Callithrix jacchus: one gene and its partners. The protein of the gene in region 3 interacts with the protein of the main gene of each other region in a pairwise test. Links are inferred from orthologs where the notes say so. Each region holds a gene or a part of one and is shown on either strand. Other genes may lie near its edges. The genes, in order: MTA1, JOSD1, KRT40, HDAC4, CCDC120, WT1 and DLGAP2.

Evidence for each region.
Region 1: the proteins of KRT40 (region 3) and MTA1 interact in binary tests that used the Homo sapiens proteins (3 or more experiments, as listed by UniProt). The two-hybrid records come from large-scale screens. The link is inferred for Callithrix jacchus from reciprocal best matches to the Homo sapiens genes KRT40 and MTA1.
Region 2: the proteins of KRT40 (region 3) and JOSD1 interact in binary tests that used the Homo sapiens proteins (3 or more experiments, as listed by UniProt). The two-hybrid records come from large-scale screens. The link is inferred for Callithrix jacchus from reciprocal best matches to the Homo sapiens genes KRT40 and JOSD1.
Region 4: the proteins of KRT40 (region 3) and HDAC4 interact in binary tests that used the Homo sapiens proteins (3 or more experiments, as listed by UniProt). The two-hybrid records come from large-scale screens. The link is inferred for Callithrix jacchus from reciprocal best matches to the Homo sapiens genes KRT40 and HDAC4.
Region 5: the proteins of KRT40 (region 3) and CCDC120 interact in binary tests that used the Homo sapiens proteins (3 or more experiments, as listed by UniProt). The link is inferred for Callithrix jacchus from reciprocal best matches to the Homo sapiens genes KRT40 and CCDC120.
Region 6: the proteins of KRT40 (region 3) and WT1 interact in binary tests that used the Homo sapiens proteins (3 or more experiments, as listed by UniProt). The two-hybrid records come from large-scale screens. The link is inferred for Callithrix jacchus from reciprocal best matches to the Homo sapiens genes KRT40 and WT1.
Region 7: the proteins of KRT40 (region 3) and DLGAP2 interact in a two-hybrid assay, tested with the Homo sapiens proteins (2 studies listed by BioGRID). The link is inferred for Callithrix jacchus from reciprocal best matches to the Homo sapiens genes KRT40 and DLGAP2.

The regions. Positions count from the first base shown.
Region 1 is NC_133509.1:140,331,133-140,334,256, forward strand, and holds the end of MTA1 (metastasis-associated protein MTA1), read left to right. Parts: intron 1-301; coding exon 302-313; intron 314-1,381; coding exon 1,382-1,413; intron 1,414-1,750; coding exon 1,751-1,902; intron 1,903-1,974; coding exon 1,975-2,125; 3' UTR 2,126-2,624; downstream 2,625-3,124. UniProt on the Homo sapiens protein: Transcriptional coregulator which can act as both a transcriptional corepressor and coactivator. Acts as a component of the histone deacetylase NuRD complex which participates in the remodeling of chromatin.
Region 2 is NC_133502.1:209,578,397-209,582,499, forward strand, and holds the start of JOSD1 (josephin-1), read right to left. Parts: upstream 2,801-4,103; 5' UTR 2,798-2,800; coding exon of another isoform or gene 2,661-2,797; 5' UTR 2,164-2,660; coding exon 1,979-2,163; intron 1-1,978. Other genes in the region: uncharacterized protein LOC144578143, read right to left, coding at 2,661-2,797, 3,248-3,563.
Region 3 is NC_133506.1:92,275,898-92,280,175, reverse strand, and holds the start of KRT40 (keratin, type I cytoskeletal 40), read right to left. Parts: upstream 2,801-4,278; 5' UTR 2,760-2,800; coding exon 2,313-2,759; exon of another isoform or gene 1,618-2,312; coding exon 1,535-1,617; exon of another isoform or gene 904-1,534; coding exon 747-903; intron 1-746. UniProt on the Homo sapiens protein: May play a role in late hair differentiation.
Region 4 is NC_133507.1:160,432,099-160,435,598, forward strand, and holds part of HDAC4 (histone deacetylase 4), read right to left. Parts: intron 797-3,500; coding exon 610-796; intron 1-609. UniProt on the Homo sapiens protein: Responsible for the deacetylation of lysine residues on the N-terminal part of the core histones (H2A, H2B, H3 and H4).
Region 5 is NC_133524.1:49,609,954-49,613,453, reverse strand, and holds part of CCDC120 (coiled-coil domain-containing protein 120), read right to left. Parts: intron 2,192-3,500; coding exon 2,033-2,191; intron 1,916-2,032; coding exon 1,825-1,915; intron 1,683-1,824; coding exon 1,549-1,682; intron 867-1,548; coding exon 726-866; intron 317-725; coding exon 22-316; intron 1-21. UniProt on the Homo sapiens protein: Centriolar protein required for centriole subdistal appendage assembly and microtubule anchoring in interphase cells. Together with CCDC68, cooperate with subdistal appendage components ODF2, NIN and CEP170 for hierarchical subdistal appendage assembly.
Region 6 is NC_133511.1:97,761,733-97,765,232, forward strand, and holds part of WT1 (Wilms tumor protein), read right to left. Parts: intron 3,257-3,500; coding exon 3,106-3,256; intron 1-3,105. UniProt on the Homo sapiens protein: Transcription factor that plays an important role in cellular development and cell survival. Recognizes and binds to the DNA sequence 5'-GCG(T/G)GGGCG-3'. Regulates the expression of numerous target genes, including EPO.
Region 7 is NC_133514.1:4,447,400-4,450,899, reverse strand, and holds part of DLGAP2 (disks large-associated protein 2), read right to left. Parts: intron 2,159-3,500; coding exon 1,104-2,158; intron 1-1,103.

The DNA of each region.
Region 1 (3,124 bases), on a different chromosome or scaffold from region 3:
GCCACAGAGGGAGTGCCTGTCCTGACATGTGGGGCCAGGACCCCGGCGCTGGAGAGGGGCCGGCTGGGTGGAGACAGCTCCCGGGGGCGTTGGCACAAAGCGGGTGGGGTCTCTGTCCAACCTGGGTAGGTGTGAGCCGAGCTCGGGCAAGGCCCTGCCTGCCCACTGCATGGAGCCCTAGCGTTCTAACGCAGCCAGCTGCCCCTGCTCTGTCCCCACCTGCGGGGCCTGCAGACGGCGCGTGCGGCTCACTAACCTAAAGCATGTGTTTTCGTCCCTCTGCCGTCCACCACACTGGTAGGCACTTACCTGGGTAAGTAGCTTTTGTGCTAGGGGCCAGCCCTGGGCGCTGGGCCTGGGCTCACGGCAGGTGCCCCGAGGTGTGGCTGCCGCTGCTCAGGGGCGCTACGGAGCAGGCACCTGGGCCCCCACCCCACCCTGCCGGCAGGGCTAAGCCAGCTGGTAGGGAAAGGCTGACCCAGGGCTCCAGGGCCCAAGTTGGCCCCTAGGGGAGTGCCCCAAGCTAGGGGTGGCTGCAGGTGGGTAGGGCTGGACAGGCCACTTCTGTTCAGCCTCAGCTGAGCAGTGTTTCTGGAGCTGGCAGGTTTGCCCCCAAGCCTGGCACCTGACTGAGTATGGCATCCTGTCCTCTCCGGGTTGGTCCTGCTGGGAGCCAGACCGCCCTGAGACCAGCTTCTGTGTGCCCACACTCACACTCACAGGCAGGGCAGTGGGGGATAGCAGCTCAGGTCCTGGGCCTGGCTGGGGGTCACCAGGAGCATGGCCTGCCTCTTGGCCCGGCTCCCGCAGTGCCCCTTAGGCTCCTTACTGTGGGAACTCAGAGGCCTTTGGCACCCCACCAGGGTGGCTGGGGCCCAGCAGGGGCAGTGGGCAGCGACCTGAGTTTCCAGCTGGGGTTGGTGGCTCTTGATGCCCTGGACCTGGCCAGTGAAGGCAGCTCGGAGCCTTGGGAAGAAGCCTGGCTTCCTGGTGGACCAAGGCCTACAGCATGGCTGCCCGCAGAGGGGCTTATGCCACTGCTCTACTGACGGCCATGCCAGGCTTTGCTTGTCTCTGCACAGGCAGGCGAGTGGGTGGGCGGCCCGGCCCCTGTGCAGCTGTGACGTCCAAGGCTCCTGGGCTCCTGCCTGGAGTTCAAGCCAATGTGTCTCTCACCGATCAGAGAGCAATGGGGCCACCAGACGGCCCAGGACCTGGGGAGGCGAGGCCCCACATCCCCCAGGCCCATCCCGGGTGTGGGCTGTGGCTTGGTTGTCGGGTGGCCCCAGCCCGTTGTCCCGGGGTGGCTGAGGCAGCTGTGGGTGGTGGGGGTGCAGGACGCGCTCTCTGAACCTCATTTCTCTTCTACATTTTTCGTCAGGTCTGGCAAACCACGGACAGTCCAGGCACATGGTAAGAGGGACAGCCCATGATGTGGCACACATGTGCTCACCCTTGGGAAGCTCTCGGGGGGTAGCCGGCCCTGCCCAGTGCCACGTGGAAGCCTCCAGGAGGCCTGGCAGGACCAGAGGGGCTGCAGCATGTGGGGACCGTGGCCTCTGTGCCAGGCCAGCGGTGTGGGCCACACAGTCCAGGGCCACCCTGGCTTGGGGCGGGAGTATGAGTAGCTCATGGGGTGGGGTGGGGGGTCTCCAGGCGGCCGTGGTTGGGGCCCCGCTCAGCAGGAGCCTGCAGGTTGAGGTGGAGCTGGCCCTCGGCCGGCTGCCCAGGAAGCGCACCCCCTCTGCAGGGACCAAGCCGGAACCTCCTGCTTAACGGGAAGTCCTACCCCACCAAAGTGCGCCTGATCCGGGGGGGCTCCCTGCCCCCGGTCAAGCGGCGGCGGATGAACTGGATCGACGCCCCAGATGACGTGTTCTACATGGCCACGGAGGAGACCAGGTGGGGCCTTCCCGGGGCAGGCGGGCGGGCTCCGAGCAGCGTCCCGGCCCTCACCGCCACCTCTGCCCGCAGGAAAATCCGCAAACTGCTCTCGTCCTCGGAAACCAAGCGGGCTGCCCGCCGGCCCTACAGACCCATCGCCCTGCGCCAGAGCCAGGCCCTGCCGCTGCGGCCAGCGCCGCCCGCGCCGGTCAACGACGAGCCCATCGTCATCGAGGACTAGGGGCCGCCCCCGCCTGCGGCCGCCCCACCCTCGCCCGCCCCAGCGCCCACGCGGCCCTTCCCAGCCAGCCCGCCGCCCGCCCCCTCAGTTTGGTAGTGCCCCACCTCCCGCCCTCACCTGCAGAGCAACGCGCGCCTCGGCCCTGGGGAGGAGAGGAGGAAGCGCCGCCAACTTATTCCCGAACCGAGGAGCCGTGTTTTTAGCTTCGTGTTTACTTTTCGGCTGGAGCGGAGATGCGGGGCCACCCACGCGTGCCCCTGTGCTGCGGGGCTTCCTGCCCGGAGGCCGGGCCCTAAGGTTTTGTTGTGTTCTGTTGAAGGTGCCATTTTAAATTTTATTTTTATTACTTTTTTTGTAGATGAACTTGAGCTCTGTAACTTACACCTGGAATGTTAGGACCGCGCGGCCGAGCTGCCTGGCGGGGTTGGCCCCTTGTCTTTTCAAGTAATTTTCATATTAAACAGAAACAAAGTAAAAAATCTTATAAAAAGAAAAAAAACAACTGGTTCTTCCCCGTCTTTTGCTCCCAGTCCCTCTCCCTGACTTAGGCCCTGGGGCCCCCACCCTCCTCGGGCAGCCCTGGCCGTGCCCCTGCCCTGGAGCGGGAGGCCCCTGGAGAGCCACCCGGCCTCCAGGCTCTGCTGCTCTCCCTGTCAGGCCTGGCGCAGTGCCCTCTCCCTGTCTCCCAAGTCCGGGGCTCAGCTGGGGCCAGGAGGCTCAGAGAAGGGGCTCCGAGGACATAGCACCAGGAAGCCTGTGGGTGCGGAGCTTTCCAGACTGGGGCCAGGCTCTGCCGGGCTTCAGGGCAGAGGCAGCACGAGGAGAGAGGTCTGGCAGGCCTGGGTGGGAGGAGGCCAGGGTGGGGGTGTGGGGGTGGAGTGACCAGCATGACCCCTCTATCTCCACAAGGGGCAGCAAGGGGTCTCAGGGCCCGGCCCCCTTCCCCTGTGGAGCAGGGCTGCAGTGGTGGGCCTGGGGCTGCCCCCTACCAGGCAGAGC
Region 2 (4,103 bases), on a different chromosome or scaffold from region 3:
AGAAGTAGGAGAAATACTAACGGCTGGTCAAAAGAAAGCAGTCCAACGTACTGGATCCTCCTTTCAGTGACATGATCTGATGATCTGAGACAAACGATCTTATCTCCCACACCCCAGGTCCTGCAGAGTCAACTCTACTTGCTGCCAGATTATGGCCGTGATGCAAACAACGCATTTGCTCAATGCTAAGGCATTACTCTGGTTACTACTGGCATTGGAAAATAATTACTCTCATTATAGTTTTGTCTGCATATGGGGATTAACATTCTTTTAAGAGTAGGCCTCTGGCTCTTTCAGGGCAAATGATCCGTACCTGTGTTTTTACAAATCACCCCAAATAGATTGCTTCCAGCTGTAATTCTGGTCCCTATGTGGCAATAACTTCATTTACAAGCTAAGAGAGTAAGAAAAACGTCTTCTGGAAATGCCAATAAGCACTGCTCAAAGAATGCTTGAGCTTTTCTGCAATGAGGACTGAGTGGGCCTAACCCTTTCTAGTTGGGGTCATCAGGCAACATCACCACCAGAGTTGCTACGGACCGCAGACATGCTGTTGTGTTCATCAAGACACGACATAAGTGATTCTCAAAACCTTTAACAAAGCAATTCTAGAAAATGAGAGCAGGCTATAATCCCAGCACTTTGGGAGGCCGAGGAGGGTGGATCACGAGATCAAGAGATCGAGACCATCCTGGTCAATATGGTGAAACCTCGTCTCTACTAAAAACACAAAAATTAGCTGGGCATGGTGGCACGTGCCTGTAGTCCCAGCTATTCGGGAGGCTGAGGCAGGAGAATTGCTTGAACCCAGGAGGTGGAGGTTGCGGTAAGCCAAGATCGTGCCATTGCACTCCAGCCTGGGTAACGAGCGAAACTCCGTCTCAAAAAAGAAGAAAAGAAAATGAGAGCAAAGAGAATAAAGCTGAACTCTTTTTTTTTTTCCCCAAGACCTGTCACCCAGGCTGGAGTACAGTGGTGGGATATTGGTTCACTGCAACCTCCACCTCCTGGTGCAAGTGATTCTCCTGCCTCAGCCTCCCGAGTAGCTAGGGCTACAGGCATGCACTACCACACCCAACTAATTTTTGTATTTTTAGTAGAGACAGGGTTTCACCATGTTGGCCAGACTGGTCTCAAACTCCAGGACTTAGGTGATTCCACCCGCCTTGGCCTTCCAAAGTGCTGGGATTACAGGCATGAGCCATGGTGCTTGGCCAAAAGCTGAACTATCAACCTGTGGAGTGCCATTTGTTCTAAGTGGGTAAGGAAGACCATCTAGAATAAAGGAAAAAGAGGAGGGGATCCAGAGTCAGCTTCAAATTATAGCTTTGCTATCTATTTAGAAGCTATTTGAACATATTACCTCACCTTTCTGGCTATTTATCAGTAAAATACAGGCAGTGAGATGAATGCTAGGAGGGCTACACAAAGCAATGTACGAAAAGCCCCACTGCCAGCACCTGGCCTCACAGAAATGCTGAGCACTGTGTACACATCTTGCTTGTGGTATCCCCCAAATTCAACCTTTGATGACAGGTGACTGAATGGATCTTGTCCCACTTCTAGATCGTAAACTCCCCGGCAGGAGAACTTTAGAGGCATTAAACCTAGTGGTCAACAGCGTACTTAAAAGAATTCAACCCAGCTCCAAGTCTTGTTACCTTGGGCAAAGTACTGAACTAAATGCTGTCTTCATCATTAAAATGGAAATAACTCCAGGTATTAACATGTCTTCCATGGGACTGCTGAGCAGATCACTCAAGAAAACAGCAGAGGCTATGAGCATTGTGCTTAGCCCACAGTACGTGCCAGATAAATGGTAGTGATTATCTTTTCCTGTCGCGTGTCCCTTACACCTGCTAATGGCATCTAGCTAATACGTACAGACTTGAAGGCCGATGAAGCTGAGATATTGCCCCACCCACAGAAATCCAGAAATATCAGTAAGTATCAAGATGCCAAGGAGAAGGGTCCCTACCTCTGGAAAATCTCTTGCAGCGTATCCCGGGTGAAGGCATTGCTGTCCTGGAAGACGTTATTGAGGGCGTGGAGGGCACAAAGCTCCCTGCGCTGTTTCTCATGGTAGATTTGTGGGGGTGCTGCCTGGGGCAGCTCCAATGATTCAGATTTGGCCTTGTCTCCTTTCCATGGCACACAACTCATGTTTTTTCTTTTAGGTTCCAGAGATGGCTAAAAACACCCCACTCTTCCCTCCAGTGGAAGAATGTAAGCTTCTCAGTCTTTTCAGGATTCCTGAGGTCCACCTTATTCTCTGGTGTCCATGATTTATGCTTTGTCACTGGGAGAAAAGATTGGAATGAAAAGAAAAAAAAAAAAACCCACCTCTTCTCTCTTCTCAATAGAAAAATAACTTTTGGATTAGTTTTATTTTGCTACCACTGTCAAAGTGCAGAATTTAGAAAATTAAAAAACACATAAAATCTAAGACCTTTTTTCCCTTTCCCCACCCTTCCCTCCCACCCCTCTCCAAAAACCCCACGATTTTCTTGCTGTTTCCCTCTGCAAATGCCAGGCCTCAAAGCAGGAGGACCGAACACAATCGGTCACATCGCTCCTTTTCTTCCATTTCTTTCGAACCACGACGCCACTGATTCGGGAGACAAGGCCTGGGTGGCTGATAAAGCGCACGAATCGAGCAGCTAGCGCGGGCCCGCGGGCGTGGGATCGCGGGCCGCGCGGGGGCCTCGGGGGCAGCCCTCCATCCCCTCGGGTGCGCTGGGGCCCGCAGGACGCGACTCCCTCGGAAGGCGCGGACTCTCGCCCTCTGGCCGCGGCCCTGCGAAGGAGACAACTCAGGTCAGCGGCGAGCGGGCGCGGGAAGTGCGCGGCGGGGCCAGCCCCTGCCGGAGGGAAGGTTCCGCGCCGCAGCAGCCAGGCCCGCGAGGGGTGGGGCCGCAGAGTCCGCCTAGCGCTCCAGGGCTCCGGCCCGCCCGGCTCGCCGCCCCCACCCCAACCTCCCGGCCCGTCACGTGAGCGCAGGCCCGGACGCCCTCCCGCCGCGCCCCCGGCTGCAGCCCCCAGCGCCCCGGGGATTGCTCGCCGCCGACCGCCCCTCACCGCCGCCGGCCTCCACCTGGAGTGCGGGCCGCCAACTGGGCCGCGCGGGCGGGCGGGCGGGCGCGCGCACCTGAGCCCGACGTCAGCGGCCCCCTCCCGGCGCGTGCCCCGGAAACGCCCTCCCGCTCCTCCCCGCCGTGGCGTCACGGATGACGTCATCGAAGCCTGCCTGCGAGCAACGGATGCCTGGCGAGTCCCGGCGCCGATGAGGGTTTGGGCTGTTGCAGGGGCCTCCGGTGTTGGGCTGCGGAGCTCGGCGGCGGCCGGCCGGGCCGGGGTCTGGCGGCTCGGCTCGGCGCCGTCCCAGGAGGGGCGGGGCGGCCTGAGGGAGTCCTGCCAGAACGCCCGCCTGCCCTTCTCCCGGGTGTGGGCGTTGTTCCGGGGCGGCCGTCAGACCAGCAGCTACTGTCCGCGGCTCTGCGCACCCCTCCCCTCTCTGGGCCGGGCTTCTCGGCCGAGCGGTCCTGCCCTCCTGCGTTGACCATTTTATGTGTGGCTAACGCGCTGCTCACCAGGGGGGGATTGCGAAGCACCTGATTCGGTCGAGCGCAAATTGACTTGTTTAGTGCGCCCGACCGCGCCGCGCTGTTCAGGGAGCGCCAAGGGTAGGTGCCTCGCTGGAGTCACATTTCAAGTGCGAAGGAGAATCCTGTTGCAGTTCCTTAGTGTCGCATTTGGGTTCAGTACACACAAGCCACTGTCCTCTTGCCTTGGGGCTCCCCGCTCTTCTCACTGTGGCTTTCCTCTCTGCATAGACCTAAGCGCATTGTGTGCGTTGTCGGGAAAACGCTCAGTCGCACCTGGATTTCATTATTTTTTCTCTTTACCTACTCTTAGGGTAGTTTCCCTCCTTTTGGGTTTTTAATAAAACTGGAAAAACAGGAAGAAGTCGCACTTCAAATTTAGTCTTTATTTTTTGGAGGCGGGATTTCACTCTTGTCGCCCAGGCTGGATTGCAATGGTTGGATCTCGGCTTACTGCAGCCTCCACCTCCCGGTTCAAGCAATTCTGTCTCAGCCTCTGCG
Region 3 (4,278 bases):
TTTGGAGTAGTGGGTAAAAGTGTGAGATTTTTATTCAGATTGCCTAGGCTGAATCTCTTTTCACCACTTACAAGGGTCTCAGTTGCTTCATCTGTAAAATGGGCATAATAATTGGACATTTCTCCCAAAGGTTATTGTGAGATCTAGAAGAATTAATCTACATATAATTAACTTATAAATGTCCTGGCACATAGTAAGTTCTCGATGAATGTTAGCTATGATTGCCATCAAAAAATGTTCAAAGAGCAAAGTAATTTGTTACGTCATTCAGCTTTTCATTTTCTAGCTTTATTAATATATCAATTGCTTTATATTTTATGAGTTTTAAAAGTTTATAAATGTGGAATATTTAAAAACACTGGTCCAGATAGTGCACGGGTCTTTCTCTCTTTTTGAAATGGCCTTCACAGTCTGTTTCTCAGCCTGATTTTTATAGCCGGTGGATTGGAATTAGGAGTGGCATAAAACCTCCAAGGAAAGCCATTTGTGGAGTTATTCACCTTCTCCACAAAGGCAGGGGCAGGAGAAGAGTTTGATTTCTTCGTCTGGCACTGGCCAGGGGTATTTCACATCTTAATTCAGAGACACACTGGAATGATCAGGCTGAGCAGTAATAATGCCTTGAGCAGTTTTAGTCTAGCTTAAGCAACATCTGCCCTAGTTCTATTCACAAACATCAACAGATCATCTGTCAGTGTAACTATGTCACTCTTGGAGTCCTTCAACGGAGTTGCCACTTTCCTTACCTCTTCATGGGTTTTCTTAAGGCAAAGAAGATCTTCCTTCAGAGACTCCACATGGGCCTCCAGGTCGGATTTGCACAAGGTCAGCTCATCCAGGATTCCATGCAGGCCGCTGATGTCAGCCTGTAACAGCTGGCGAAGGGACAGTTCACTGTCGTACCTTTCACAGCAAAAGAGAAATCCAACACTTATTCTGTTGAATGCTGTGCAAAGTGTGAGGATACATGGAGGATCGACATATGAATTTCAGGAAGCCACATGCAGAATTTCTCTTAATTCCTGAGTAATGATAAATTCAAGCTTTTAAGACATTCTTAACTTTAAGATATTATATAGAGAATATTTGTGTGTGTGTGTGAGAGAGAGAGAGAGTGTGTGTGTGTTTGTGTGTGTGTGTGTGTGTGTGTGTGTGTGAGAGAGAGAGAGAGAGAGAGAGAGAGAGAGCGCCATAAATTATTTTCAAAATAAAATTAAGCCTGGGTGTGGTGGCTCATGCCTGTAATCCCAGCACTTTGGGAGGCCAAGGCAGGCAGATCACCTAAGGTCAGGAGTTTGAGACCATTCTGGCCAGCATGGTGAAACCTCTTCTCTACTAAAAATACAAAAATTAGCTGGGCATGGCAGCACATGCCTGTCTGTAATCGCAGCTACCTGGGAGACTGAGGCAGGAGACTCGCTCAAACGCAGGAGGCGGAGGTTGCAGTGAACCATGATAGTGCCACTGCACTCCAGCCTGAGCAACGAGGGAAACTCCACCTCAAAATAAATAAATTAAATAAAATTCAACTCACTTTGACTTAAAATCCTCAGTGGCCAGTTTGCAGTTGTCAAGCTGTACAGCAAGTCTAGAATTCTCTGCCTTCGTGCATAAGATCTGTGAAGAAAGTCCTTATTTAATAAAGTATTCTTTGAGAGAAACCTAAATAAACTACTATCCAACAGCTATGCCATTAGTTATCCTTTGAAAGTCTTTATAAGAAAGTGTAAAATGGCCGTTAGCTGCTTTCCGTATTCACCGTGTCACTTGATGAAGCAAACAAGCAGTGCCAATTCAGAAACAAAATAGAGACATAAAAAGGTTCACTTTTTCTCATAACATAAGACATTTTGCACTATTCCTAGGCAGTGGAACGCCATTAACGTTTTTCTCCATCAGTAGTTTGTATTATGACTATACCCTCTCCCATAATGGAAATTCATCAGGGAGAGAAGAAAATGACTAGGTGGTTAAAAAGATGGCATTTCATGATCTGTGTTCAGATAATATAAATGTTCAGTGTCACATACAAAAGCGATTTTGGATATAACACAGTCTTTTTGCATTCTATAGATGACGAAGGAAAAGTCCACAGACAAGTTACTTTGTTATAGTTACTCAGTAATCAGGGGTAGCTTTAGGGGTGGGACTGAGGTTTCCCGACTTCCAGCACAGTGCTCTTCCCTATGTACCATTAACTTGTAGAACTCTCCTTTCTCTTGGTTTCCTTCTGTAAAACAGCACCTTCTAGTAGAAAGATAAAGCAAACCATAGATCGAGAAGCTGGAGCACTAGGGCAACAGGACATGCACCTTTTGTTGGAGATCTTCAATGGTGTTGAAGTAACACTGATAATCGGGACATGCCAGTGGGATATCCTGTTCACATTGCTCTTGGATCCTGGATTCCAGCTCTGCATTGGTCTCCTCCAGGCTGCGCACCTTCTCCAGATAGTTGGCGAGTCTGTCATTCAGGAACTGCATCGTCTCCTTCTCATTGCTAGTGAACACTCCATCCTCACACCAGGCACAGTTCCCCACCAAGCAGGGACTACTACAACTCCCAGTAAAGTAGCATGGCAGGAGGCAACCGGTCAGCCCGAGAGACCTGGAAAGGGAGCTAGGGGTCTGACATCGGGATGCAGCACAGGAACCGGGGAGACAAGCTGTCTCCATGGAACAGCTTGAGGCAGGTGCACAACAGGAAGCCCTGGTACAGGACTCAGGAGAGCAGAGCGTGGAGGAGCAGTCAGAAGACATCCTTCTAGAAGCAAAGACAGAGACTGGCTGCAAAACACCAGTTGCCTTGACTCCAAAACACTCCTTCCCTCCTGAGAGTTTTATATAGCGCCCCCTCAAAATGGGTGTTTACAGACTGCACCGGATGTTTTCGTCATCATTGATGGTGCCGGTTTTTATACAAACATCTCATTAGAGTTGTTTATTTACTGAAGAAGAGTTGTATGCCTCATAAAAGGGGGATAACTTTAGGTTACCAAAGCAGGGCCCACACCATTTCCATGTGCAAGACAAAACACTTATTTCAGAAAATCATCATAGGAAGCATTGTCTTTTTGACAGAATAAGAAAAGAAAGAGAACATTTGGCCAATCAATAATTATAGATACAACTCATTACAAATCAGGAAATTAATATTCCCACAGATTTTGATTCTGTGCATTGATTGCTTGTGTCTTCTTTAAAATTAGTATTACGGCTCATAAAAGGACATTCATTTGTTTGTCCACCACTATAAAAATGGTCAGTGTGGTTAGCAATCTTCCAGTGCTTTTTGTGATCTTAGAGCATGTGCTGACAGGACTGGAGAAGTGAGGTATATACTGGGTTTAAAGAGTGTGAGTGTGTGTGTGTGTGTACAAACCATGTCTACCTGCATACAAATGGAAAAGTCTCTTTACACAACTGATAGGAATAACTTGTTTCCTGTAAGTTAAAATATATATTGGTTAGAGCTGGAATTATGATCTTTGACTTCCTGAAACTTGCCTTCTCCACACTTCTTATTTTTAGATAAGTCATACAATTTTACCTGTATTCCTAATAAGAGTGAAATATAAATTTTCTAAGTTATAATCTTTTAGTCCCTTGGGAATTCCTCAGTGATTATACTTCAGAAAAGAGGGAGGAACCCACAGGAGTCTTTGCTTCTGAGATGTATAAACATACTGGAACTTGGGAAATAAAATTCTATTCAGGTTCCAAATGACTAATTCCACTGGTTGAAATCTCTGATGCCAAATCTGACAGATAGGAGCTTGAGATGTGTGACTTTTTTGGATTCTCTCTTGAATTTCACCTCCGTTATGAAGTACAATCTATTTCACTTTGCTTAGCGTTAGTCATGACATGTATTTCATTTTCAAAGGTGCACAGAGAAAATTGCCTCTAGAATTTTTAAGAACATTATAGGAAAAAAACACATTAATCTGAAAAAGTTAAAAAATTTATGATCCAAAATAAACTTATTTCTTCTCCTAATCTTGAGTGCTGCTTCCTGGGTAGCTGAGAAGAGAAACCAAACCAAACCAAGCCAGAGAACATATGTAAGTGAGTTAAAATAGTCTCTTACTCCCTGGGCAGAGTTGAGTTTGAATTTAGTGATTCTCTTTACACATCAACACTTATGAGAAAAGTTTTTAGAGTGCTTCATGGTATGCTGATGCTGCTTTGCAACAAACACAAGTTCAAGGATTCAAAAACACTTTCAAAAAAATCACAACTCTCTGAAAGAAAACGATCTTTTCGCAGTAACTTAATG
Region 4 (3,500 bases), on a different chromosome or scaffold from region 3:
ACCTCACTCGCCTCCTGACTTCTGGTGAGGTACCGTGCAGGGAAAACCAGAGACCCTGGCTGGCAGATGGCCTCTCCAGGGAGAAGATGGCATGAAGGTGGCACAGACACAGAGGGCACGTGGCTCCCACAGTGTGTCCCAGGGCTCCTGGCTCTGCTCTTGAATAATCATGGCCGCCCACCAGCCACTCATAGCCCTAAGTCACTGGAGCCTCAGAGCCAACACTGTGGACGTGGCAAAGTGTGAGAGCGTAAGTGCAGAGGCGCAGGCTCCTGATTCCTATCACGCTGGACCAGAAGCTGCCTGCCCTCACAGCCCCATGGGCATGGGCTAGGGACTGTTCTTGGAGGAGACCACGGGTCTCTGGGACAGGGAAGGTGGGCAAGTGAGCTCGTGACAGGCCCCCAGAGTAACTGAACTGAGTGTGTGGTGGGGAGGGCGTCCGGGACTGGACTGCATGGTCCCCATCACCCAGTGTGGCCCTTGGGCCCCGCGGCAGTGCCCACCCAGCCCCTCAGTCTCTGCAGAGCTGGGCCTGGAGCAGCCCCCCAGGCTGTGCCCACGGTGGCCTGCGTCGTAGCCTCAGGCTGCGCGAAGGCCACATGTTACCTGTCGTGAACCTCGGTTTGGCAGGGGGCTCCTGGACAGACACGGGGAAGGTGGCGGATGCCGGTGAGGACTGTGCCCGGGACAGAGGCCGGTGGCTGCCGAAGGACACGGGGATGCCGGCAGCCTCCATGGACGCCTGGTAGTTCCTCAGCTGGTGGATCCGTTGCTGCTCCAGCAGGAGAGCTTGCTGTGGGGAGAAACGGCCATGATGGCGGCTGCAGGGCGAGGGCGCCCTTCTCTTGCATCTCCCATCCATGCACAGGACGTACACAGGCCACGAGGATGCCGCGAGGCCGGCTGCATGGAGAGGCCTTCCCTGTGAGTGCCCTGAAGCCCGAGTGGGCTCCGACCCAAGAACAATGCCAGCACGGGCTCTGCTGCCCAGCACATAGCTCCCTCTAGGGAAGGTGGGCCGTCCACGAGGGATGTGCCACAGGCTTCATTAACAGTGTAACACAGGCTGAGCCAGGGGGTTCCAGCGAGGCCTGGCTCAGTTTGGGGTATTAAGGAGGGCTTCTCTAAGGAGGTGCTGAGCCAGGAGCAACCTGGACCAGGTGCAGGGGAGCAGGCCCAGCAGCAAGGGCACGGCAGGCGTGGAGAGGCTCTTGCGGGGGTGGCAGCCTGGGGGATACGTGAAGGCCATGCAGATGTGGGGACCAGAGTGCCCACTCTGCTACACCACACACATACAGCGGGTGGGCACGAAGCCCCGCCCCCTTGTTGGGTTTGTGGGTCTTATTTTTGACCAAGGGCACTGAATCTGCATGCCAAACTCGGGCGAGAAAGCACACCACAGACTCAGACTTGGGAGAGCTAACTCGGCCTCATCCCCAGCCGCCCCCCTCCCTGGTCTCACATCCCACACACACGGCGTGCAGGCTAAAAGCAGAAACAGCCCATCAGCTTCCAGGCACCCAGGGCCTTTGGGGCCAGGAGCAGGCCTGCTGGTGGGGACGCGCCTCTCTGGAGAGGTGGAACGGGGCTGGGGCTCTGTGTGTGTGTGTGCAGGGGGGCTCTCAGCCAGAGGCATGGGACACCTCAAGGGATGCTGGGGACAGGCTGAGGTGCATATCCCCATATGAGGCAGAGTGGAGAGGAGGGAGCAAGGCAGAGATAAGGCCACAGCTGCCCAGCCTCTCCCCAGGCAGCAGCCGAGGGAGGGCACAGCCAGCCACCTGCCACCCAGGCCAAAGCACAAAGGAAGCCGGGAGCCTCCTTGCTGGGAGCTCTGCCCCAATCCTGTCTTAGTTTTGATGAACAAATCCTGTGAATGTGGAAAACCAAGTACCCACATGCCAGCTCCTGTGTGAGAGGCAGAGCCCAGCCCTGTGCCACCAGCACTGGGGGAAGCCAGAGCTGTCTGGCGAGGCTCCGATCTGTCCTGCCTTTAGGAATCAGAGCCAGGAGTAGAGCAAAGGGCAGCCCCGAAACAGCAGGAGGAGCTGGAGCCGGCACCCACAGGCCCCCAGGCTTCCGCTGACCGAGTTCAGCTGGGATTACTGCAGCTCCATGCAGCTGATAAACGATTCTCCTGGCACACTGACTGGAAGATGCCCCGTCTCCCTGAATGCGGAAAGTTGCTCCAAGTACTACCACATTTCCCTGATACGGAGGTCTGCCTATTACTCACTGGAGAACACAGAAAATAAGTGTTTCTAATAATCGTCTCATGCTTCGAATATAACAAACCTCTTTTTTCAAAGTAAATGCTGATCTATGAGAAGCGAGCCCTAAAAATTACTAATGTAAATAGTTCCAGTTTCTTCTCAGCATAACAACAACACACGGAATTTCAGTCCCAGTGAGAGACCCGCTTCCTTCACCGCGACCTGACCACAGGAAGAAGCCCCCATGCTGGGCCGTCAAACAGGACCTGTGGACAGGAGTCCACCGGGAAGCGCCATGTGTGCCAGGGAGGCCGGGCTGTCTGTCTGTCTTCACCAAGTGTTAGTTCTGCTGCGCTCTGTCGTGTTTAGTGCCTGGGGTGCTAATGAAGCAGCCCCAGAAATTAGAGAGCAGCCACCCCCTGAATGAGAAGGAGAGATAGCACCCAATGCCAGCCTCTGGGAAGCTGGGTAGAGACGGGCTTCTGACCCGGAAGCCTCCGGAGACCACTGTGGTGGACTCCGGTCCAGGTGCTGCAGATTTAAGTCCCCACACAGATTTCATTCAGTAGCAAGCATTTAAGAAGTGTAGCTGAGAATTCAAGGAAATGGTTTACTGCTGGGAGCCCTGTTCCTGGCTTCCAAGATGCCGCCGGGGGTGGAGGCAGCGTCAGGCCACACAGCTGGCAGGCAGGAAGCAGGGGAGGTGCCCAGTGCCATGGCCATCGTGGAGTCCAGCGAGAAGGGAAGGAAAAGCCAGTGGCTCCTGCAGCTGAAGCCACAGCTCTGCTGCTGGAGGACAGATCAAACCTACAGCTGTGGCTCCCCAGGCTCACTTCCCGCCTATAGGGGGAAGCCACCTTCCTGAGGACACTGTGGCTGCAGATACAGGGCTCTGGCTGGCTGCCCAAACGCCCTAGGTATTTCTGTTGACTTGGAAGTTTTATGTTTCCCTGGAAATTAACCAATCACTCACTGGCCTTCTTCATCGGTCTCCTGTGAGTTTGGTTCCTCCGTGTCAGTGCCCTGAAGCCTTACTGGCTCTGGGTACCACAACTGTACCCATCTGTCTGGATCTGTAGGGCTGCTCGTTAGCACTTCTGCACCACGAAATGTCTTGGCTTCTGATCAGACCCTGTCTGCCTTTCTGATCAATTAATACATCTATTTCCTTCACTTCCTCTATCTCTTAACACGTGGATTCTGTGTTCATTTACACCTACAGACAGGAAGGAAACCCATTCTCTGGGGCTGCATGGCTAGAAAGCAGTGATGTCACCTCCCTCA
Region 5 (3,500 bases), on a different chromosome or scaffold from region 3:
CCCTCACCAGGGGATGCTCACCTTGGCTGAGCTGAGTGAGCCGCATGCCCAGGCAGACTCCCTGGGCGGTGATCACTGGCCCCGTAGACAGTGGCAGTGGCTGGGGTGGTGGGAGCACTGGGAGGCCAAGGCGGGCCCGGACGTCCCCGAGCTGCTCCTCCAGCTCGTGCAGCCTCCGCAGTGCGTCTGCCTGGACCTGGCGCCGGCGCCGGCGCTGCTCGGTGCTCAAATCAGGGGCCAGGGCCAGGCGGCGGGCAGCTGCTGCAATCTGCTGCTGCACCGACACCTCACGCTCCAGGGCCTCAAGAGCCAGCTCCTGTCGGGCCCATCCAAATGTTGGAAATGGCCAGGCACAGGGACCTGGTGGAGCCAAACCCACTAGAGGCTGTCCTGCACTTCCAGTGGCCTATTCAGGCCTATTCACCTGCAGGTGGAACTTATTTACCCCAGGGAGGGGAGGGGGCAGGGCAGGGCAGGGCAGGGCAGGGCCTCTCTTGGTGAAGGACTGGGACTGTTTATCTTCCTGAGCATGGGAGGCCTGTCCTGACAGTTAGGGACCAGCATCCTCCCTCATTGCAGGAACCTACCTCCAGAAGCCCTTTTCCTTCTCACCTTAGCCTCTCCCTCACCTGGCCACAAGCCCCCTCCCCATACCTTCCTCCTGGCTACTCCTCTGTACCTGTCCCCTCTCCCCACCCTCTTGCTCTCCACACCCATCTGCTCACCTCAGCAGGGCACAAGGAGTGGTGTGCTGGGTTGGGGTGTGGTGGAGGGTAGGCGCGGGCTGTGGGGGGCCGCCGGCGGACCAACTGGGGCCGTTCACCAGGCTCCAACGGGCACTCAGGGGGCAGCTGGCCAGTCAGCTCCTGGTGGAGGGCAGAAGTCAGAGACTACCAAGGGTTAGTTGGAAGGATGCGGTAACACATTAATGATCCCAGAAGCTACAGAAGTCCTACCAGGAGCCTGGCCCTGCTCAGCACCCACACACGATACTTCCCTTCCTCCTCCCATTATGTCCAACAGGCAGGCGTGCCCAAATCTCAATGGCCCAAACCCCTGTGGTGGTGGGCATGAGAGGCAGGGAGACCTGCTTTGGGATCCAAAATTGTTTCATTTTTATAAAAGCGATACCATCGAGATCCTAAGTATTATATAACTCCCTTCGGGGGCTGGGGCTGCGTGGTCTGAGCTATAGTATTATTTCTGGCACACTGTGGGCATTCACAGTAAGAGGGGGAAACTGAAACTACACATCACCCTGTGCCAGTTCAGGTCTGACTGTGCTGCCAAATTTTGAACAGAACCTGTTTTCTAAGGTTTGTTGGATTTGAAATTGTCGACAGGGGATTGTGTGCCTGTATTACCGTATTTCATTCATTCTAACACAGCTAAGCTGAGCTTTGAGAAAGTGGGTGACAGAGAAAAGTGGGTGACACAGACAGGACAAGTGGTTGAACAACTGCCACCCAAGTCTGTCTATCTAGGGGACCCAGCTCCTCACCTCCCCCACCACCTCCCCGCCTGACACCCCTAGGGCCAGGCCCTTACCGCCTCCTGGAGACACACTTTGCGGAGCTCCTGAAGTTTCAGGCTCAGGGCCTCCTGTAGGGTCCGCTGCCGGTCAAGCAACCCCCGCAGACGCTCTGACTTCACCTGGGGGGCAGCCTCTCCGAACAGGGCAGCTGGACACAGAGGGAGCAAAGATCAGTGGGACAGCCAGGGCATCCTGGAGCAGCTGTGGGGCCAGGGACCAACTCTTCCCAAGCAAGCAGGTGGTGATTTAGAGCAGGGGAGGAGGCAACAGGAGGGGAAGCAGCCACCGACCTGGGGCATTGAAGGTAGGAGAGCTGATCAGCTGACCTTTGACTTCCATCTTGGTGCTGTTGAGAGGCCGTGGCTGATGGCTGGACAAAGTCTGGCAGTGACACACAGGAGCCGTTAAGGAAGCACGTCCCATGATACCCCAACCCCCAGCCCTTCCCAACTTCCCATGCCACAGCAGGGAATAAGGGGTAACCTGGGCCCCACGTGCCTGCTTGACCTGCCCTTTCAGAATCCGTGTGGATGTCTGGACCCACTTGGCCCTGGTACCTTGGTTCCCTTCGCATTGAGTGGGAGCACAGCAAGTGGGGAGCTGGGCGGACTTACAACGCCTCCTCAGAGGCCCATGGGTCACAGCCAGGAGTCTTGCCTGGGGAGGGAGAATTAATGGGACAGATTCAACCAACCATAAGAACAACAGCCACGCAGTCAGCACCTGGTTGCCTGCAACAGTTACCTACAATGCCACAGTGAATCTTCACAGCCACCTGGGAAGATTCATACTCCCATTTTACAGATGAGGAGAGGAAGGCACAGAGGTGAAATAACTGGCCCATAGCCACATACATAACCCAGGTCCACCCCCTGGACCTACACTCTTGCTCACGAGAACCGCTTCAACTCCACCAACTTCCTCATAAGTTCCCTGGTCCCTCAGGCCTCAGGGTCTTTGCCCAGGCTGTGGCTGCTGCCTGAAATGCTTTCTTCAATCTGTCACCACCCCAGCCCCTTCGTGTCACTTATCATTCTAAAGCTTAAATATCACTTCCACAGGGGGCCCCTGTGTTATATTCTCTCACAAATGGTTGTCCAACAAGAGATTATGCCTCCTGGAACATCCGCAATGATAGAAAACATTATCTGTCCCATTTTCATCAGCATTGCCAGCATCCTGAACACGGCTGTACACGCAAGTGCTCAATGAATGGGTGCCAGGTGAATGAATAAAAGACGGAGTAAATGAATGAGGAGGCAGTGGAGCCAGGGTTCAAGCCCAGATCTGTGGGTCTGTGCTTGTCCCAACTCCATTCTGTAGCTCTAGTGCAGCAAGGAGAGTGTTCACTAGGTTCACTTGACCCAGGGTCCCTCCAGCCCCTCTTCCCATGCCAGCCTGTCCTGAGCCTAGCTAGGGAAGTCCCCCTGCTGGAATTTGTAAGAAGTAAAGTCCACAGCTGAAAATAACAAACCACCTGCCTCCTGCCTCCTGCCTCCTTCTCTGCCCTCAATGCCTCTGCTGACCATGGAGCCTGACTTGGCTGGCCACCAGCCCTGCCCTTGTCCCCTCCTTTGGAGTTTGCTCCCTCCCTTCCACATCCTGCTCAGTCCCCAGCTGGGGAGCTGAGTGACATCACCTCCCACCACCTGGCCTAACCTCAATGGCAGGTGACTGGGAGGGTTTTATGGGGCCACAGAGTTCCCATCATCACCTACCTTGAACTTGGCAGCTTGTCATGACACTGTTAGCCTGGTGTGAGGAAGACCCAGCCAACCAAGGAGGCATGGGTTCAAGCCCCTTCCCCATCTGTATATCGTAGGGTGAGGCCAAGCTGTCTATAAGGTGTCAGTTTTCTCTGGAGTCCTCCTACCTGCCCCATAGGGCCTGTACCCCTCTCTTGAAGCAGTGGTGCCCTGCCTTCAATAGCAGGGGTGGGAATCAGTCCCTAAAGCCTTTTGACAAA
Region 6 (3,500 bases), on a different chromosome or scaffold from region 3:
AAAGGCAACATCTCCTACTAGGACTGAGCAGATCTCAAAATGCCTAAGGCACTTTGCTGGAGTTTGTTAGGGTAGGATGATCCCAAACCTGCAAGTTAGAAATGATGGCAGCTCAGGGGCCAGAGGATTCTGCCCCAGGGCTCACAGCCAGATCTGCCATTAAAAAAAAAAATAGCTACGTTAGGTGTGGTTTCTTCATTGTAAAATGGGTCCAACAATCCAACAACTTCAAAAGATTTATGACCTTCTTGTAAAGGGCTCAGTCCAGGGCCTAGCACAGAAGGAGTGTTCAAAAAATATTAGCAGAGAATACACAGACAAACGAAAACCAAAATCTTTAACTCCCAGGCTGAATCTGAGGCAGAATTCTGGGATGCACGTGCCTTGAGGTCAGCCTCATGTTCTATGGCCCAAAGATCTGGTGTTCTCTGCTACTAACTCCCTGTTCCTGAGTCAAGCAAACATGACTCCATGGTTGTGAGACCCTTAAGTTACACCAAAAGCCAAAGCATTGAGAAAGTTTTTGGTGTCCCTTTTATCCAAGACAAGTCAGCAATGGGATTACCCAACCTCCTGTCTCAGAATGGAGAAGCCTCACACCTGTTCTCACTACAGAAAGTTCAGCCTGGAACCTGAGCCCCAAGAGAAGTGAGCAACCCTGGGCCTTCCCACCTTCCTAGGAGAATCTGAGTCACAGGCATCTGGGACAGAAACAAGCCATTCTAGAACCAGTCAGGCCTTTGTGTTGCAGGGCAGCCCCCAGTTATCTTTCCAACCTCAAAACCTCTGCTGTTTCCTTCATGAACCTCTATTCCCCGCTGTGCCAGAGCTCACATCTTGAAGTCCTCCTTGCATTCTGCTCACACTAAATGTCCTCCGCCCCTGTCTCCACATTGAAAAGGCTCCTGTATGTGCCTCACAAATGACACTTTGTCTGCAATGCCTGCTTGGAAATTGAACGGTCCAATTCTCCTTCCTTCCCTCATTACAACATTTCTTCCAGGGTGTCTAATGTGGTGAGCTGTATCTGGGTCTACAATCCTTCCATGGAAATCCTTCCATGGGCTGGAAAATCCTAAGCACTGGAACGTTTTTATTTTTTTTCTCAGAGACAAATTCTCTCTCTCTCTCTGCTGCCCTGACTGAAGTGCAGTCCTGCGAGCCTAGCTCACTGCAGCCTCCAAATCCTGGGCATAAGCGATCCTCCCACCTCAGCTTCCTGAGTAGCTGGGACTACAGGCATACACCAGCACAATTGGCTAAATTTTTTTAAATGTTTTTTGTAGAGACAGGGTCTCACTATATTGCCCAGGCTGGTCTTGAACCCCTTAAGCAATCCTCCTGCCTATGCCTCCCAATGTCCTGGGATTACAGGTGTGAACCACAACGCCTGGCCCCTTTCTTTATATTTCTATCCAGCCTGGTGCCCGATGCTTCACCTCTGTGAGCTGGAGAAGACAATGCCCCTATTGAGTCTGATCTCCTCCCTTGCCTTTGAGCTTCTGCTCATCTCTTTCTCTGTCCAGCCTATCAGCCTTCACTGGTTAACCCGAGCCCTTCCTCTTCTGATAAACTTCATCATATGACCCTAGTTCAAACTGGACACCCTCCAAACTCATCAGTACCTCCCATCTCTGATTTAGTACATGACCGTGTATTCTCTTAGTCCCATTTCATTTGTGTATATCCTAGCTCCGAAACAAACCACGAACTCCTTGAGAAGGGGGATTATAACCTGGAGTCAAAAGGCGGGAGTTTTAGTCCTCTTTTTGCTATATTCTACCCTCTTAATAAATGTTTTGTGAGTGAGGATTAAATGAAATATACCTGTAGAGAACCTGATACAAATATAACATGCCACTGATCCTCTCCTCTTTAGCCTCAAAGTCTGTGGCCCACTGAGTGCAAACTCGAGTTTATACCAGAATTGCATCCTCTGTACACTGTGAATTGGCAAAATCCAGTGGTCTGAGGAAATCTGAATGCAGCTCACTTTTTTCTCCAGCTTCCCAACAGCAAAATCACCAGTAATAACACAATTGTAACAGTGATCCTAACAGTAATGCTGTTTTTCGGTTGTGGAGAGGGCAGCACCAACACCTCGGTAGGAAAACCGGGGCTTCACCACACTCCCACACTCCCACCTAGTGCCCAGAAGGCCCAGAGCAAACGTTCTGTGACATGGCTGTCCACATTTAAGGTGGGCAACACCAGACAATGCCACTTTTCTATTTCCCAGAAGCAGGCCCGTTGACCTGGGGGAAAAGCCAGTTTCATTGGCATAGCCTCAAAAATCATCATCATCTCTCTCTCTCTTTTTTCTTCTTTTTTTTTTTTTGGCAGAGTCTCACTCTGTACCCAAGCTGGAGTACAGTGCTGCTATCTCAGCTCACTGCAACCTCCGTCTTCCGAGTTCCAGCGATTCTCCTGCCTCAGCCTCCCAAGTAGCTGGGATTACAGGTGTGGGCCACAACACCTGGCTTGTTTTGTATTAGGAAAAGCTTTAGTAGAGATGGGGTTTCACCACGTTGGCCTGGCTGGTCTTGAACTCCTGACCTCAGTGATCCACCCACCTCAGCCTCCCAAAGTGCTGGGATTACAGGTGTGAGACCCTGCGCCTGGACTTTTTTTTTTTTAAGCAATCACAAAAAAAATCAAACCAACAGTCAATTTTCCCCTTCCTGTCTGGTTGATTACTACCCAAGCAGGTAAGTTTTCCTTTGGACTATCTATCTCTTCCAAAATTTCAGAGTAGATCTCCCAAAACCATCTGATGCTATATTCCCAGGCTAGCTCCTCTCTCTTTAGAAACGCTAAAAGTATTCTAACACCAACACAATTCCCACACAGGTCTGTGTGGCACTTTCTCTCTACCACTCACTCTGCTCTGTCCTTCTGGAAGACAGTTTGCTGACATCTGTAACAAAGGATGGATAATCAGAATGTAAAATGGCCGCACAGCCACCATCCATCGCCTGGATCAGACCTTTCAAAGCAGTGCTTACTTTCCATCCTGGAAATCACCTGTGTCCTTAACAGTGTGAGAGCCTGGAAAAGGAGCTCTTGAACCATGTTTGCCCAAGGCTGGATAGTGGACACACTTACCAGTGTGCTTCCTGCTGTGCATCTGTAAGTGGGACAGCTTAAAATATCTCTTATTGCAGCCTGGGTAAGCACACATGAAGGGGCGTTTCTCACTGGTCTCAGATGCCGACCGCACAAGGGTCGGGGCTACTCCAGGCACGCGCCGCACATCCTGCAGGCAGAGAGCAAGAGGAAGGGAGGCTTTAAGCCACATGTGAACATTCACGTAGGTCCTGAGGGAGCGTGAGCACTGGAATATATCCAAAGAAGAGATGGCAGGTCCAGACCTAAAACCACTCCCATTTGCACTCCAGATCCCCATGGCAGACATCACTAATGGATGCTAGATCAGGACATTCTACAATGCAGTGCTCTAAGACCATCACTACTGAGCAACCAGAAGTGTCTCTCTTGAG
Region 7 (3,500 bases), on a different chromosome or scaffold from region 3:
TTTTGTTAACAGCGCTATCGGCCGACAGAAGTCACTCAGCGGCATCCTCAGCAGCAGCGTGTGCCTCCCAGAGGGCTTCCCCAGTAAACTCGGGGATGGCTCCATTCAAAGGCAGAGGAAATCCACATGAAATAGAGAATTCTGCAATATGCTAGCTCTAGGAATCTACCTTCTTTAATTTGTTTTTGCCTTTGGTAAATTCACTAAATCCACACCCCAGAGACACAGAGGCCTTTTCCAGCTTATAGAGGCTGTGGTCAGGTGCAGGGCGTGAACTCCCGAATGTCACAGGCCCATTTCCATGACGCCTGACCGTTAGCTTTCACACGGAAAACGTGCACACCAGCTAGTTTATGTTTGTTGTGGCTGTTAAACTCTCCAGCCTTAGAGGCATTTAAAAAATGGTCCCCTGTGCTTACAGGGGTGGTTCCAAGGAGGAATTGGGATCTCCAGAGGCTCCCAGAGTGAGCCAGAGTCACGCATGACAGCTGCCATAGACATCTCACCATCCCTGCAGGCCATGGCGTGTGGTCAACCCTCAAGTCTACCGGCAAATGATGGATAGAGAAGATGCAGTACACACACATGGGACACTACTCAGCCTGTGAAAGAAGGAAACCTGCCATTCTCCACGACATGGATGAGCCGGGAGGCACTGTGGAAAGAAAGCCGGATGAGCCTGGTGCACACAGACAGAGGCCGCTTGGTCGCTCTCAAGGGTGGTATCTGAAACAGCTGAACTCACGGATGCAGAGAGTGGAACTGTGTTCACCGGCGGGACTAGGGATGGGGAGGAATTGGGAGATGTCGGTCTCATCCACCAACAAGCAAGGAGGGGCTCAAGAGACCGAGTGGCCAGCATGACAGCTACAGTTAACCCTGTACTGCACACTTGGAAATCACCCAGAGTGGGCTTCACATGTTCCCACCACAACAGACGGTGTACCAAAGGCAATGGGCGTGTGAGTAGCTCAGTGGAGCTGTCCCGGCGTGTGTTGTAGCTCAGAGCATCCCGTGGCACTCCCCACAGTTATGCGGTTGTCACCTGTCAATTAGAAATGGAATAATGACCACAGCACCTGCCGTTGCGGGAGTCTGCTTACCTGGAGGTAGTGGCACGGCCTCAGGGCGGGCTTGGTGTCCTGGTGCAGCAGCGGCTTGTCCAGGTTCAGCGAGCTCTTGCGGTAGGCCTCCTTGGCCTGGCTGACCGTCAGCGTGGACCAGGAGCTGCGCTTCAGGTACTTGGCGTCCGGCGTCAGCGCCAGCCCCTCGCAGGCCGAGCACTTGACGTCGTTGTTGCTCTTGGAGGTCTTGAGTGAGAGGTCCCCAAAGGGGCTCTGCAGGGCGTCGGGGTAGCCGTGGGCCGCGGGGCCCAGGTGGTGCCGGTTGAGCACGCTGGGCGGCCGGTAGGTGCTGTCGCTGTCCAGGTTGTCATCCGAGCTCCACCAGCTGCTCATGCCGGGCCGCGGCTTGCCCTCGGGCTTGCGCTCCTTGCTCTTGCTCCTCTTGCCATGCTTGGCGTGGTGGCCGTGGTGGGGGTCGTCGGCGCGGCCGTCCGCCTTGGCCCCGTTGGCGTTGCCCTTGGAGGAGCCCTCCAGCGAGTGGGACTTGGTGAAGAGCTTCTGCACCGAGTGCACCAGGTGGCGGATGCGCCCCGGGCTCTCGCTGCGCTGCTCGGCCGCCGCGGACGCGCGCTGGTACTGCAGCGTGTGGAAGCCGTCCCGGTGCAGCGGCAGCTGCTTCTCGAACTGGTCCAGCAGGTTGGCGGGGATGCGGTTGATCTTGGCGCCCACGTGCGGTGCGGCGCAGTCGTCGCGCGCGTCGTAGTGCGAGCTGTAGTGCATGCGCGGGAAGGTGCTGCTGGACACGTGGTCGCCCAGCGCCACCGGCATCAGGACGCACTCCGAGTGCACCGAGCTGCGCGGCGAGCAGCGGTGGCGCCCCCCGGGGCAGCTGTCCGCGGCGCTCAGCAGGTAGGGAGGCCGCTCGGGCGCGTGGTGCAGGTGCTCGCAGTCCTCGGGGGGCGCCAGGCCGCACGTGTGCCCGGAACACAGCGGCGGCTGCGTCCGGCTTCCGGAGAGGCCCTTCATGCTCCTGGGCGCCGGGGAGTAGCGCTCCTCATTGAAGTGCTGCGTGGGCGACCATGAGTACTGCGGGTCTGCGGGAAAACACAGAAACGTCACTCAGCACCCGGGAGCGGGAGCGTGGGCGGGGACCCCCGGGTGCGAGCAGGTGGAGTATGTGACCCCCCCACCGTGGACTGGGTTTTCAGGATGGTCAGTGTCTATTTCTGGCCTGGGCACGCGAGAGGACAGTTTTGCTTGTTTTTCTGAGACCCGGTCCCCGCTGTCGCCCAGGGTGGAGTGCAGTGGCAGGATCTCAGCTCACTGCAACAGCTGCCTTCCGGGTTCAAGCGATTCTCTTGCCTCAGCCTCCCGAGTAGCTGAGATTACAGGTATGTGCCACCACACCTGGCTAATTTTGTACTTTTAGTAGAGATGAGGTTTTGCCATGTTGGTCAGGTTGGATGGTTTCAAACTCCTGACCTCAGGTGATCCGCCCACCTCATCCTCCCAAACTGGGGGGATTACAGGCACCCGCCACCATGCCCGACTAATTTTTTTGTTTGTTTGTTTGTTTTTGTGAGACAGAGTCTCGCCTTGTCTCCCAGGCTGGAGTGCAGTGGCATAATCTTGGCTCACTGCAACCTCCATCTCCCGGGTTCAAGCAATTCTCCTGCCTCAGCCTCCCGAGTAGCTGGGATTATAGTGCACACCACCATGCCCAGCTAATTTTCTATTTTTAATAGAGATGAAGTTTTGCCATGTTGGTCAGTCTGGTTTTGAACTCCTCACCTCAGGTGATCCACCGCCTCAGCCTCCCAAATTGCTGGGATTACAGGTGTGAGCCATCGTGCCTGGCCGGGCAGTTGTTTTTATATGACAAAGTGAGAGGAGCAGAGAGGAAACTCTGACATTCCCTAACGGTTCATGACCAAGACCAGGTCTCTTCACAGCCGGATTTTGTGGTATTAAAGGAAACTGACAATTTGAGGGAAAGACATAGTTGTATTTCACTTAGATTTCCATTTTGTGGTACAGCTTAAGAAGTTTTAAAACAGCATCTGGTGCTTGATGGGTGATATTGTCTAGCAAGCTCATGTATCTCACACACACACACACAGACACACACACCACACACAGACACACACATACGTATTAATTGTGAAATTGCTTGTTCGATCCACATCCTCACAGGCTAGTGAGGATGGGAGGGGTTTCTCGAGGCCCCGTCTTCGTGGGGGCATCTGTGACTCCTTCCCCAGAGGCCAGGCTCTGTCCCTTCCCACCCGACTCCTCCCTGTGCCCCTCTGCAGCCTGCGATGAGCTTTCCCTGCAAGCCTGGAGGATGGAGGCTATGGCGACAGCACAGCATGGCCTGTCTTATGGCCACTGAGCCGCCAAGGGCAGGTACCTTGCTCTTTCCTGTCCCTGGGAAGA